3 linked regions of the Schizosaccharomyces pombe genome follow. Changing the gene in region 1 together with any one later gene gives a genetic interaction. Each region holds a gene or a part of one and is shown in the gene's direction. Other genes may lie near its edges.

What was found.
Region 2: of ubc4 (region 1) and ecm33, extra expression of one rescues a mutant of the other (dosage rescue), as found in Schizosaccharomyces pombe (one study listed by BioGRID).
Region 3: of ubc4 (region 1) and mal2, a mutation in one rescues a mutant of the other (synthetic rescue), as found in Schizosaccharomyces pombe (one study listed by BioGRID).

What each region holds. Positions count from the first base shown.
Region 1 is NC_003423.3:713,311-716,816, forward strand, and holds ubc4 (ubiquitin-conjugating enzyme Ubc4), read left to right. Parts: upstream 1-1,974; 5' UTR 1,975-2,022; coding exon 2,023-2,142; exon of another isoform or gene 2,143-2,221; coding exon 2,222-2,299; exon of another isoform or gene 2,300-2,457; intron 2,458-2,670; coding exon 2,671-2,916; 3' UTR 2,917-3,001; downstream 3,002-3,506. Other genes in the region: 19S proteasome regulatory subunit Rpn3, read left to right, coding at 1-785. UniProt on the Schizosaccharomyces pombe protein: E2 ubiquitin-conjugating enzyme that catalyzes the covalent attachment of ubiquitin to other proteins. Mediates the selective degradation of short-lived and abnormal proteins. Mediates ubiquitination of pex5.
Region 2 is NC_003424.3:1,569,087-1,573,461, reverse strand, and holds ecm33 (extracellular leucine-rich repeat domain, receptor L domain-like Ecm33), read left to right. Parts: upstream 1-1,872; 5' UTR 1,873-2,201; coding exon 2,202-3,467; 3' UTR 3,468-3,849; downstream 3,850-4,375. Other genes in the region: SPOM_SPAC1705.02 (uncharacterized protein), read right to left, coding at 4,159-4,246, 4,302-4,375.
Region 3 is NC_003424.3:4,183,484-4,187,942, forward strand, and holds mal2 (kinetochore protein mal2), read left to right. Parts: upstream 1-1,798; 5' UTR 1,799-2,039; coding exon 2,040-2,951; 3' UTR 2,952-3,028; coding exon of another isoform or gene 3,029-3,742; 3' UTR 3,743-3,933; downstream 3,934-4,459. Other genes in the region: wybutosine biosynthesis protein Tyw3, read right to left, coding at 3,029-3,742; pop100 (Rnase P/MRP subunit), read left to right, coding at 4,064-4,459. UniProt on the Schizosaccharomyces pombe protein: Component of the kinetochore, a multiprotein complex that assembles on centromeric DNA and attaches chromosomes to spindle microtubules, mediating chromosome segregation and sister chromatid segregation during meiosis and mitosis.

The sequences.
Region 1 (3,506 bases):
CCTTTCTTACGAATGCTAGTAATAACTTGGCAATTCGCTACCAATACTATTTGGGTCGAATTCGCGCCATTCAACTTGACTACACGACCGCTCATGAACATTTAGTTAGTGCTATACGTAAGGCTCCCAACACAGTATATGCCGTTCAATTTCTGGAAGCTGTTTACAAATTGCACATCGTCGTACAATTGCTTATGGGAGAAATTCCCGAACGCCGCATTTTCCGCCAAAAATCTCTCGAAAAAACTTTAGTGCCTTACTTACGTATTAGCCAGGCAGTTCGTATTGGTGACCTTTGTGCTTTCACTGACGCGCTTTCCAAGTATGAGGCTGAATTTCGCTTCGATGGATTGTATACTTTGATATGCCGCCTTCGCCATACCGTCATTAAGACTGGATTGAGGATGATCTCCTTATCTTATTCCCGTATTTCCCTTCGTGATGTTTGTATAAAGCTTGGTTTGGACAGTGAAGAGAGTGCCGAGTACATTGTTGCTAAGGGCATCCGTGATGGAGTTATTGATGCAAGTATCGATCATAGTAATGCCTTTATGGCTAGTAACGAAGCCATGGATATTTATTCCACCGAGCAGCCTCAACAAGCTTTTCATGAACGTATTCAGTTTTGTCTTGCCCTTCATAATGACAGCATAAAAAGTATGCGATATCCCATGGATGCTCACAAAAGTGAACTCGAAGGTGTGGAAGAGGCACGTAGGCGTATGGATAAAGAAATGGCTGAGGCAGATTTAGATGACGATGAGCCTGATTTGGGCGAATTTTAAAAAACTTATGGAAAGTTTATAGATCTTAAAATATACTTTCAAAGTTGTTCAGTTGTATGTTTCTTTAATGTCTATGAAAACTATATGTAGTTTACAGATTGAAATATTTAGTGAGTTTGCGAAGCTGTAACAGAAGGAAAGTTGTTGAAAAACAGTTTTCGATCGGTGCTACAACGCTACAAATGCGTTTGTTGTTTAAACTGAGACTTGGTCTTTGCACATTGTAATAAATGAGTAATACGCTAAAAACACAGGGGTTTGGAGAATGGTCGTGTGCTTTATTTTCAAATTTGTTGTTTTATATTTCGTATATAATACACGTATGCAAACACATTTATGGTTATGCTGTGAAGCAATACAGATTTGATCTTGGATTATGGTTCCAATCAAAGGTATACTTTAGTCTTTTTAATTATAAATGGCGAAATGGGCAAAAAATTTTTGTGCAAATTTATTTTTTGTTATGCATAACTAGAGCAAATAAAGCAATGCTATAAAATGGCTTCCGGCAGAAAATAATAACCACAGTGGATATAAGCTAGTTTTCTAACGTGACTTAAGTAACACTTTATAAAACCAAAGCTATACATTAGTCTCTCCCATTACCACTTTGTCAATTTTAGCTAAGTTAGTAGATATGATCAACACTATATATTTAAAGTGGAACGGCAAGCTCATTTTTTACGTTATAGTAATTTAACAATTTTGTCGATATTTTGAGCAATGGTGTATTCTGCTGTGGTCGCTACGGCGCATATCATCAAATATCGCCTGTCCGGTTTCTCTATTCGCTAAATACGGGAAGATACTGATATAGTCTATATTGTATTTCACAAGTAAAATAGTTTCTGAGTTAGCCATCATGTCGTCAGTTAAACTGATCCTCGTTCTTCAGTTCACTTACAAGCTCTTTTATTGATAAATCGTTATAATACCGCCCCCATAATATAATATCTGTAATTCTCTTTAATTTTGCCCTATTTGTAATACAATAGTATGCTGGATCCCGAAAAAATTTATCGTAACGTAGCGTATCCTTAAAAGGATAACAAACTGTTTAGCGGGTATTTTGCAGGTACAAAGCAAGTTGCGCCATCCTGAAAAATTGCTTACTCAGACAAAGTCGAACTCGTGTGATTTAGTGCATCCATCGGTTATATGTTATTTCTACCTCCGTCCACGTTCTTCCACGAGCAAACTACTGACTTTGTAAAATCGCAAAAGCAAACCAGTAACGATGGCTTTGAAAAGAATTAACCGTGAATTAGCTGATCTTGGAAAAGACCCACCGTCTTCTTGTTCCGCCGGCCCTGTTGGCGATGATTTATTCCATTGGCAAGCTACAATCATGGGTCCTGTAAGTCGCGGCTGTAATAGTGCCTTGCGCACTGCCAAAATTTTGCTTGCTAGGATTGTGCAGCTAACATGATATATAGGCTGACAGCCCTTATGCGGGTGGTGTCTTCTTCTTGTCCATTCATTTCCCTACGGACTACCCATTCAAGCCACCAAAGGTATGTAACTATTTAGTCTTGTGTAGATTATGTAAATACGCATTGTAAGCTTGTGAATCGGAGGAGGAAGTTTGTTATATACAATATGAATTGAAGAGTTGATTGCATCTTGTTTTTCTGGAAAAATCGGTATGGTTGACAGTGATGCAAAATTTTTTAAGTGTTATGGTGAAAGAGTATACGCAGAAGTTTTTTTATAATTGTTTACTCTTACCTTTTATCTTCATTTCTTTATGTTTTACCAGCGGAACTTTATCGATTTTTATACGATTGCGTCCATCCAAGTGAAGCGAGGGCAATTACATTGCGTAGCATTACGAATCTGATTGATAGTCTTTTTTTTTTAATGATAACTAACAGCATATTCGTAGGTAAACTTTACAACCAGAATCTATCATCCCAACATCAATTCAAACGGTAGCATTTGTTTGGATATCCTTCGTGACCAATGGTCTCCAGCGTTGACTATATCAAAGGTATTACTGTCTATCTGCTCATTGTTGACAGATCCTAATCCTGATGATCCGCTTGTGCCTGAAATTGCGCACGTCTACAAAACTGACAGATCCCGTTATGAATTAAGTGCTCGTGAATGGACTAGAAAATACGCAATCTAGAGTTTGTTTCTGTGTTGATATTAAATATTCATCTCTTTTGCGAATTGTTTTCTCCAATGTATTGTATAGTTTTTTTTTTTTTTTTTTGGTTTTGGTTTTTTAAATAAATAGTAGGGGATGGCGATAATGTAGCTAGTAAAGTTGCATCGTAAAATTGAGGATACAAGCTGCCTTTAAAACAAACTGTATTATGTTCGAGGATAAAGTATGATTTGATTTAGATAATTTTTATGATTTTTTGAATAGTACAAAATTTTTCTTTGTGTTTAATAAGACCGAATGGGTCCAGTTGGATTATTCCAAGAGCGTTTGTGCATATATTTTTAAAAAGGTACGTAAACACTGCCGATTAAGTGAAATATTGTGCAAGTAAAAGTAGAATAACACGAATGGAAAGTCGTGTTACGAAGAGAGTAAACGGCTCTACGTCTTTAAGGTTTTGCTAAAAATATTTATTAAACAAAACTAAGTAATAAACAAATTCCTTGTAGCGCCTTTTTGCTGAAAAGAAAATGATAATACTTGACATGCAATACGAAGTGATACTGCTATAGACACAACTCATAATAGCCAGTCAATTCAACTCCTAG
Region 2 (4,375 bases), on another chromosome or scaffold:
GATATACTTTGTGTATTAAAAATCAATTTCTTTTATAATCGCAGCGATTAACTACTAACTCACGTCACACAAGAGAACAAATAAAAAAAATAAAAAAAAAATAAAAAGGTTCCAAATAGCAAAACAGTCTTAAATGAGTGCTTTACTCAATTTGTATAACGGGCATCTCCATCAGACTACAACGCCGCTTTTTACTTGAATATTTGGACGGTAATTATGATTACACTACGAATGTAAAAAATAGGCAAGTTACAGTAATCAAAGTTAAATTTTTAATATGAGTTGATGTGTAATCGCTCCTATAAGATTACTTCGAGATAGAAGGTAAAGGAATTTATAAAAACCATGACGGAACTAATCACCTTAAGATGCTTTTTAACAAGTACCCGAAATCTCTGGAGTTAATCATTTCAACTTTGTGTAATAAATGATGCAAGCATTCTACTGACTTAATATTCATATACATTCAACAGTCTAGCTTACAGTGCACATGTATAGCAAAAAAACATTTTATGTTTCAGCATACATTTTATTACCTTGGAGTACTAGCTTCTAAATACAATACATATTCTCCAATTAGGGCATTTATTCTAGATCAATATTTAAAATATCCACATTCATATTCTATTCCTAAATCATGCACAGTAGTCTAGAATTGTTCAACCTTCAACAATGATTAAATAATTTTCTGAAGCAAATCATCCTAGACAGTGGAAGATAATATAGCTTATTCACAAAAAAAATAAACATAAAATCAACTTAAAAATCATTTATGCCTTTCAACATTATTTCTGATTAAACTGTATTGCCAAAATAATTTTGTAGACTGTTGTTTGCTATTTCTTAAAATATTGAACAAATTTGAATAATCAAGTAGTTTTTTTCTCACTCAGTGCATCAAAAATGGGAAATATAAATTACTTAAGTTTTAAAGTAATAACTGGATGTCACACAAAGATGAAATACACAAAGGCCAAAATAATCATCGAAACTACAAGAAGTTAAAAAGTAACAGGTAAATGCTTCTGAAGTACAGTACAGTTCAGTCTAGTCAATCAGTTGAATACCGGTATGACCTTTGCAATCTTTTCTCCTTCAACTTGCTAAGCATATCCACTGCGCCTCTACTTCTCTACAGCACGGTAAATACTTTGTTTACATGACTAAATAAATCTGTTTACACTGCAGATGGACAGATCGTTGCTGCGGTAACGGTAATTGTCAGTAAACAAATGTCTGAAACCATTTACGGAAACGTAAATACCGTTGCATATGAGCGAAAAATAAACAAGATTAGCATAGCTGGAAGAAGCATTTTCTATACCAAATAATATTTATGATTTTCTGCTTTTTTCTAGTATAAAAAAATCCTACCTCTTCAGAGATCTGGTGACTGTTATTTTTCACTAAAACAAACAAGTGATGTCACGTTTAAAAGCCCGTGAATGTGACTTTTTAAGGGTCAAACACTGCGGTTTGTGTCTCTCCCTTTAAATGTTTATGCGATGAATAACCTTAAAACCAAAGCTGGAATACAAATGAAGTTTTGACAGAAAATACAGCATTGTTTACATTGAGTGTTTACAATTCTCAATCTGTAAAGAGTCGAACGCCTTGTTGTCATGCCAATGTGTTTAACGAGAGTCAAATTACTCGTAAACGTACAAGTTTAGCCAATAAACGGTCTTCAAAGTTTGGTCGCAAGCTCCTCGTTGGTGTTGTGGCCTAGCAACCAGCAATACACAATTACTCATTGTTTACAGTAAACATTGCAACGAAATTGCGCACCTCGTTGTCCCCCTTTTTATCTAACAAGTCACAATTCTTTGCATTTTCCGGGTATATATAGATGTCTTTTCCGCAACTCGCTTCATCCTCAGCGAACTACATTTGAGTTTTAAACACTCTTTTACTTCTTTATTCATTACCCACGCATTCATTTATAAAACATATCATATATATTACCCGTAATATATAGCATATACCTTTTATAAATACCCGCTATTCTGCATATCTTTTGTGGTCAATCTCTGTCTTTTTGATTATTACTACGTTTCCCCTTATAAACGCATTTTACATATTTGTCCTCTTTCTCTTTTGATTTAACAAATTTACCTTCATATTCCCTTTTTGCATCCTAAAAACTATCTTTCGTTATATTTTTCCAATCATATTTCTACATTATATAGTCTAAAGTCAATATGTTGTTCAAATCATTCGCTCTCACTCTTCTTTTCGCCGCAGCTCGCGTACAAGCTGCTTCCAACTGCTCCAGCGGCCCTTACAATATCTCCGCCCAAGGTACTCTTGACGAGCTTAACAGCTGTACTGTATTGAATGGTGATTTGTACATTTCTGATGCTGGTAACTCTGGCATCACCACCCTTACTGTTAATGGAATTGAGTCCGTTCAAGGTGATGTTGTGGTTTCTGATGGTCAATATTTGACCTCTCTTTCCTTCCCTTCTTTGAAAAACGTTTCTGGTGCTTTTAACGTTAACAACATGATCCGCATGAACAACCTTGCTACCCCTGAGCTCACTTCGGTTGGAAGCCTAAATCTTGCTGTTTTACCAAACTTACAGGAGCTTCAATTTAACGCTGGTCTTTCCGATTCTGATAGTGTCGTAATTGATGACACTCAACTTCAAGCTATTGACGGTATCAGTTTGGATTCCGTCACTACTTTCCAAGTAACCAACAATCGTTATATTCAGGAGATCACCATGGAGGGCCTCGAAAGTGCTCAAAATATCCAGATTTCCGCTAACTCTAAGGGTGTAAGCGTAAACTTCAGTAAACTTTCTAACGTTACCACTGCTACTTTTGATGGTATCAGCAACGTCTTTATTGGTAACTTGAAGAGTGCTGCTGGTAACTTGTATTTCTCTAACACTACTCTGGATAACATTTCGGTTCCTTACCTTACCGAAATCGGACAAAGTTTTGCTGTTTTGTACTCTCCTGAGCTTACTTCCCTCAACTTCCCTAACCTTACCACTGTTGGTGGTGGTTTCGTTATTAACGATACTGGTTTGACTTCTATTGATGGTTTCCCCGTCATCTCTGAAATTGGTGGTGGTTTAGTTCTTCTCGGTAACTTCTCAAGCATTGATATGCCTGATTTGAGTGATGTGAAGGGTGCTCTCACTGTCGAGACTAAGGCTACCAATTTCACTTGCCCTTGGTCCAATGATGACAGTGTTATTAAGGGTGATGATTTCACTTGCCAAGGTAGTGTTGCTACCATTTCTGCTACTAGTTCTTATGATTTGTCTTCCACTGTCTCTGCTACTAGTGGATCTGCCACATCTGCCACTGGTTCTGCTACCACCACTTCATACTCTTCTGATTCTTCTGCATCTTCCTCTTCCTCTTCCTCCCATGAAAGCTCAGCCGCTTCTAACGGCTTCACTGCTGGTGCTTTAGTTTTGGGATCTCTTTTGGTTGCTGCTCTTGCTATGTAAGTGTCGTCATGAACAATTTGTTACTTTTTTTATCGAAAGTATAGAAAATTAATATTTGAATGTTACCGATACTTATTTGGCGAGATGAGCTGGCTTATCTCTGGTGATGTGGGTTACTGAAATGTTTATTAATACAGGCCGTTTTATTTTCTTCTTTATAATCGGGTGTGATTAAACATATATCTTTAGAAGAGATTAACTTCTATATGATCTTAGAAAAGTGTTGAGAAGGTTTGATGTTCCTTTTCTTTAATTTGAGCTTTAAATTATTTATATGAGTTGCTCTTAGGCTATTTTCAAAGTTATTGATTTTGCCTTTTTTATAATTAGTCTATCGAATATTTGCATTTAGTATATCTTGAATTTGATTTTTTTAATTTTTAATACAAGGCGCGCGGTAGTTAGTAATAAAATAATTTGATTGGCAAAGATGAGACATAAGGCGTATGATATGCATAACCGAGAGTTAAGAAATTACGAGTAAATGATTAAGTAACTTAATGGGATGTTATTATAGATTGCAAGACTACCGAGTTTATTTACTCTTTACTTAGAAATATAGATTTTATTGTTTTTATCAAAATAGAGGTAAAATTGAAGAAAAATAACAGAATAAAGAGCCAATGTACTGTGGAAAAACACCACTTAAAAGGATGGAATAAACTGCCCTTTAACAAAATTTCGAATATAGTTATTTTTTTCCTTTTGAGCCACCGTTGGCTTCCGCTGCCTTGCGCTCATCAGCTGCACGTTGTTTAGCACGCATAATTTCAGCTTGACTTAAAATATTAGCTAATTGGTTTTTAAACAAAATCCTGATTCCATTCCACTTACGCTTCAAGACGTTTGGTAGGATCTCCGGCTTGTTTCTTTTTAGAAGCTTGAGACTTCTTTAAATTGCGAGCACG
Region 3 (4,459 bases), on another chromosome or scaffold:
TTTCACTGTAAGGTGATTGGAACGTGGCATGGACTATGATAGTGAAACCCTGGCCTATCGTAAGTGGGGGGAGTGGGGGACTCCCCGATGCATTGATAAGTGTGACCCAAAAAAACAAGCGCTAATTCAATGCGCTAAAATACGATAAAGGTGCATAGTGACACGCGTTAGATCATGGTATATGAGTAGCAATATTGTAGCAGAGGAATAATAGGGTTGGTAGTAAACGAGTATATACAGTGTTTATAAACCGAAAGTCGAATAGTAGGAAAAATAGCAGTGATGAGAGTCGAAAGACGAACATCAATAATTTTTGTTTCTGTTTGACTTTTGATCGTTGTTTATGGACTTTTCCGTTTTTCAGTCAGCAGTGGTAATTTGTGTTTACACTCGTATGCCTTGTATGCCCAGAACTAAAGCTCATCTAAGCAATCCCTACTATAGAAGAGAAAAATAAATAAATAAAATAAATAATAATAAAAAAAAAATCTACCTTACTTCATTCAAATTTATTTCATTGGGTTTTATTTTCTTTTTAGTAATCACTTTAACTCACCGCTATTTTGGAAATTGTAGATTTTTTATTGAATATCGCCGATTTTTAGTGTTTTACAAACTGTAAGCCCAATGTCGCTTGAACCCAGTTTTACAGTCTGGATGAATTGATTTTCTTTGTATTACAAAGACTTTTCTATTAAATTTTCATTTTCTCAATTGTATCAAAGACATGACAGCAAAAATCAACTCGACACTATGAAATATACTATATAACAATTGCCTGTTTTATAGATGCCAAACTGATTTTATAAAAAAGAATGTAAAAGAAAATAAATGAACTAAAAAAAATTTAGTTTTCTACAAAAAAGCAAAAAGCCTACAGCACCCCGGATTCCCATGTTGTCTCCAACCATAGTACTAACGAGGCCCTCAGACGCTTAACTGCAGTGATCGGACGGGAACTGGTGTTTTCGCCTAGGTATGGCCGTAGACATTTGCTTCATTAATTTAAACTATATATACTGTAATTAAAGAATGTAATTTATCATGTTTGTTCTAGCTCATTGTAAACAAATACCACTTAAAAGTTCACATTATATTATTTAACATTGAATAATACATTCTCCCTTTGCATTCATTTAACACAAACTTGGCTTTTGTCAAATCAAAACCCCATGTACATTCAACGATCCTTAAAACTGCTACAATGTATAGCACTTGCGCGCTCATAATCTAATATTAAATATACAATTTTGTTGCTTTCTTAATGCAATATGAATGTTTTAAGGGATTGTACGTGAAGAGCTTTAATAAAAGAATTGTTAATAGGGATGCACTAATTGGTGAGTTATAAAATGTAATGATTTTAAAATCATTTATATAAGAAGGAAAACTACCTTCATTTTTTTTCTTTACTAATTTATTTTTCTTTTTTTTTAATGTCATTTTGTTAAATGTCATTATTTTTTCTTCAAAATAATTCTCATTTCCTGGATTATGTCAATTTAATTCTATATATTTTATAAGTTAAATTTCTTTGTTCTTGTAAATAACCATTCTGTTTTCTTTCCTAGATTTTAATTTTAATTTTTTTTTTTAAACTGGCGATTTAATTATCTTCAATTTTATATAGTTATATACAACTTGTCCGACTTTGCTTTCTATACATTTCTTTGTTATTGTAACTCATTAAGAAAATATTTAATTTACATATTATCAAACAGTTAAAAATATTGCATAATTTTTCGTTTCGTTGCAAATAGATTTGCAATCTTCATTTTTTCCTATCCATTACATCTTCAAACCTACCAATCTCTAATTTTGATCTAATTACAAATCTCGTCTAAAATACTATTCCAGTTCGAAACTCTGAAATGCTACAGTGATTAAATTATAAAAGCTGCTGTGTATTTCGACGCTTTGACATACGTGGACGAGTCTAAGCGTAACTGAATTTCTATGCTTGGTTCATGTTATCAATAAGGCCCTAAGAAACTGTTGAAACTACAGTTTTTTTAGTTCCATGAATTTTTTTTGCTGCCATGGACGATGAAGAAGGCAATGCGACACTCATCGATGAAATTTCCGTCCTTGAAGCCAGAAGGGATGTATTGCTTGATGAATTAAAGTCTTTAGATAATGCGACACTGTCCGATCTCGTTCAGAAGCCCGAGTTGTCCAAAAATTTATCTGTAAACAATGAATTTCTGAAAGAGACTCCGTTAAATCAACCTGCACTGCATTATGATCGACTTTCTGGTATTTCCTTTTTCCAACCCAATGATCCTGAGGAGTTATCTAGAAAGACCCTTCTCGTAAAAAATAAAAAGACAGGAGCCATTGAGACTGCTCCTTCTATACCGCTTCTTGGTGTCCGGTTCGATATCATGTTGAATCCAGTAAATATAGGCTTTACGAATCTCTCAGAGAATCCAATATCTTCCGCCTCTGGCATGGACGAAGAACTAGAAGGTGGAAATAGATTTGATGTTCCCTATTATATAATTTTTCGAGTATTTCACGACTCGTTTGCTTTATATAAATATACGATTCCAAGCTTTCTGAACATACAAGAATGGGCTGACGAGTATTTGACTGGAAAGAACCCTGAAAGGTTTAGAATATTTTTGTGGAAAGTAGATAAATTATTGACCGCATATATCTGTCGTAAAAACGCACTTTTACAAATCAATAAGTCTTTGACAATTGATGGGACAAACATATCTGCCAATCTTTCTTGTACACATCTTGTCATTCAAATTCCGAAAGTCATTCAAGCTACCCTTGTTTGCTCTTCAGAATCCACTAGAGTGGTCAAATCAAGGATATATCAGTATTCTGATGAAAACTGGAAAAGAGATCACAGACTTGAACTATCTTTATTAGACAACAAACGTTGGGTTAATATACTTGTATCACACCTAACTGCTCCAGAAAGTCATGCTTCGTTATGATTGTTTATTACCATACTCTTATTATTATTAGACAGGGACTATCTTTTTATACAAAAAACTTTATACTTGTTAGTTATTTACGATTGCACCAAATAATCGTCCATATTCCTTAATTTCCGCCTTGGTTTCATCCTTTTCTCTACCTGTCTCTCCAGTTGCTCTTTCAGTCTAGCCATTCGATTTCCATTTTCAGTAAAATACTCAACGCTTCTCTTGAAAAGGAAGCACATGTATTCACGAGTAATGTAAAACTGAAGCTTTTCGGATGCTGTAAGACATCCTATAGGAATATCCATTCGTAAACTTGTTCTAATAGCCACAATAAACTTCTGCTCACTACCTTGAATTCCTGTTTCCCGAAAACCGCAGCTTGCTGCTACTCTTTGCAAATGCTGAGCATTCGCTAAACTTCTCGTTTGAACATGCAGAATCATGGGTTCAAAAGCGTATTGTATTTCCCGATTTCCTTCTACCGGAGAACTGGGAACCTTTCCGTATTCCACTTTTTCATCTTCTAAAACCGGTGGTAGTTCTTCATGTGCCTGATGACTAACGAAAAGCCAGTATCCACCTCCTTTTCTGGAATTTGCTCCTTGTACATAGACTGAAATTCTTCCTGAACATGAACTAGTTGTTACCCAATCCGGGTGGGAGTTTATAACATCTAGCAATGGAAATATTGGGCTATCTGGGTGTCCTTTGGGTGATGCATCAGGTACGGAGGATTTCAAGCCTTCTAAGATTTCTTTTTTTTGAGCATCAAATGATACATCTATTCCTTTTATATTCATTCAAATTGTTCTTCAAGGAACTCCTTGCAACGACTTAATTCAACTCGTTGGTGGATTCTTACAACTTTTCAACTTGCGTTGTCAACTTGCCAAATCAAGCACCTACATTTTTTTTTCTAAATTCAAAACAATATTTGCAGATTCGTTTGCTCAAACCTAATAAATAAAAGAAATCAAATAGAAAAAATCATTTTTATGGTATTTTCGTACGCGCTTGAGTAATTTATCAATCCATGCAACAAACAAGTTCCACTGTATAATATTAACTTCCTAATTAAGGCTGCTACAAAAACCGTCCCCCACTTTATCTAATTTTATGAAATGAAGCGTTCAACTGGAGGAACGCAACCAAAGGGACTAAACGTCAAAAGGTCAAAGCTCGCTGATGCTAGATTCATAGAGGTTGAATCACCTGCCCTTTCAAATGGTGCTGTAGACTTAAAAAAATTCATTGAATCAAGGAGTTTTGAAATAACGGCTTTACAAGATGCTATGAAAAGATCAAAAGAATCCAGCGCTCAGCGTGCTTTCCAAGCTCTTCCTCGATGTTTACGAAGAAGAGCAGCTTCTCATAATATAAAAAGGATACCTAAAGGTTTAAGGGATAGAGCTTTATATGAAATGCAACTCAGTTCCTCATCTACTTTGCCCATTGCACCTTCCAGACAACGGTTAAAGAGATTCATCAAACGCTTGCGAAGAAAGTTAGCTAAATCA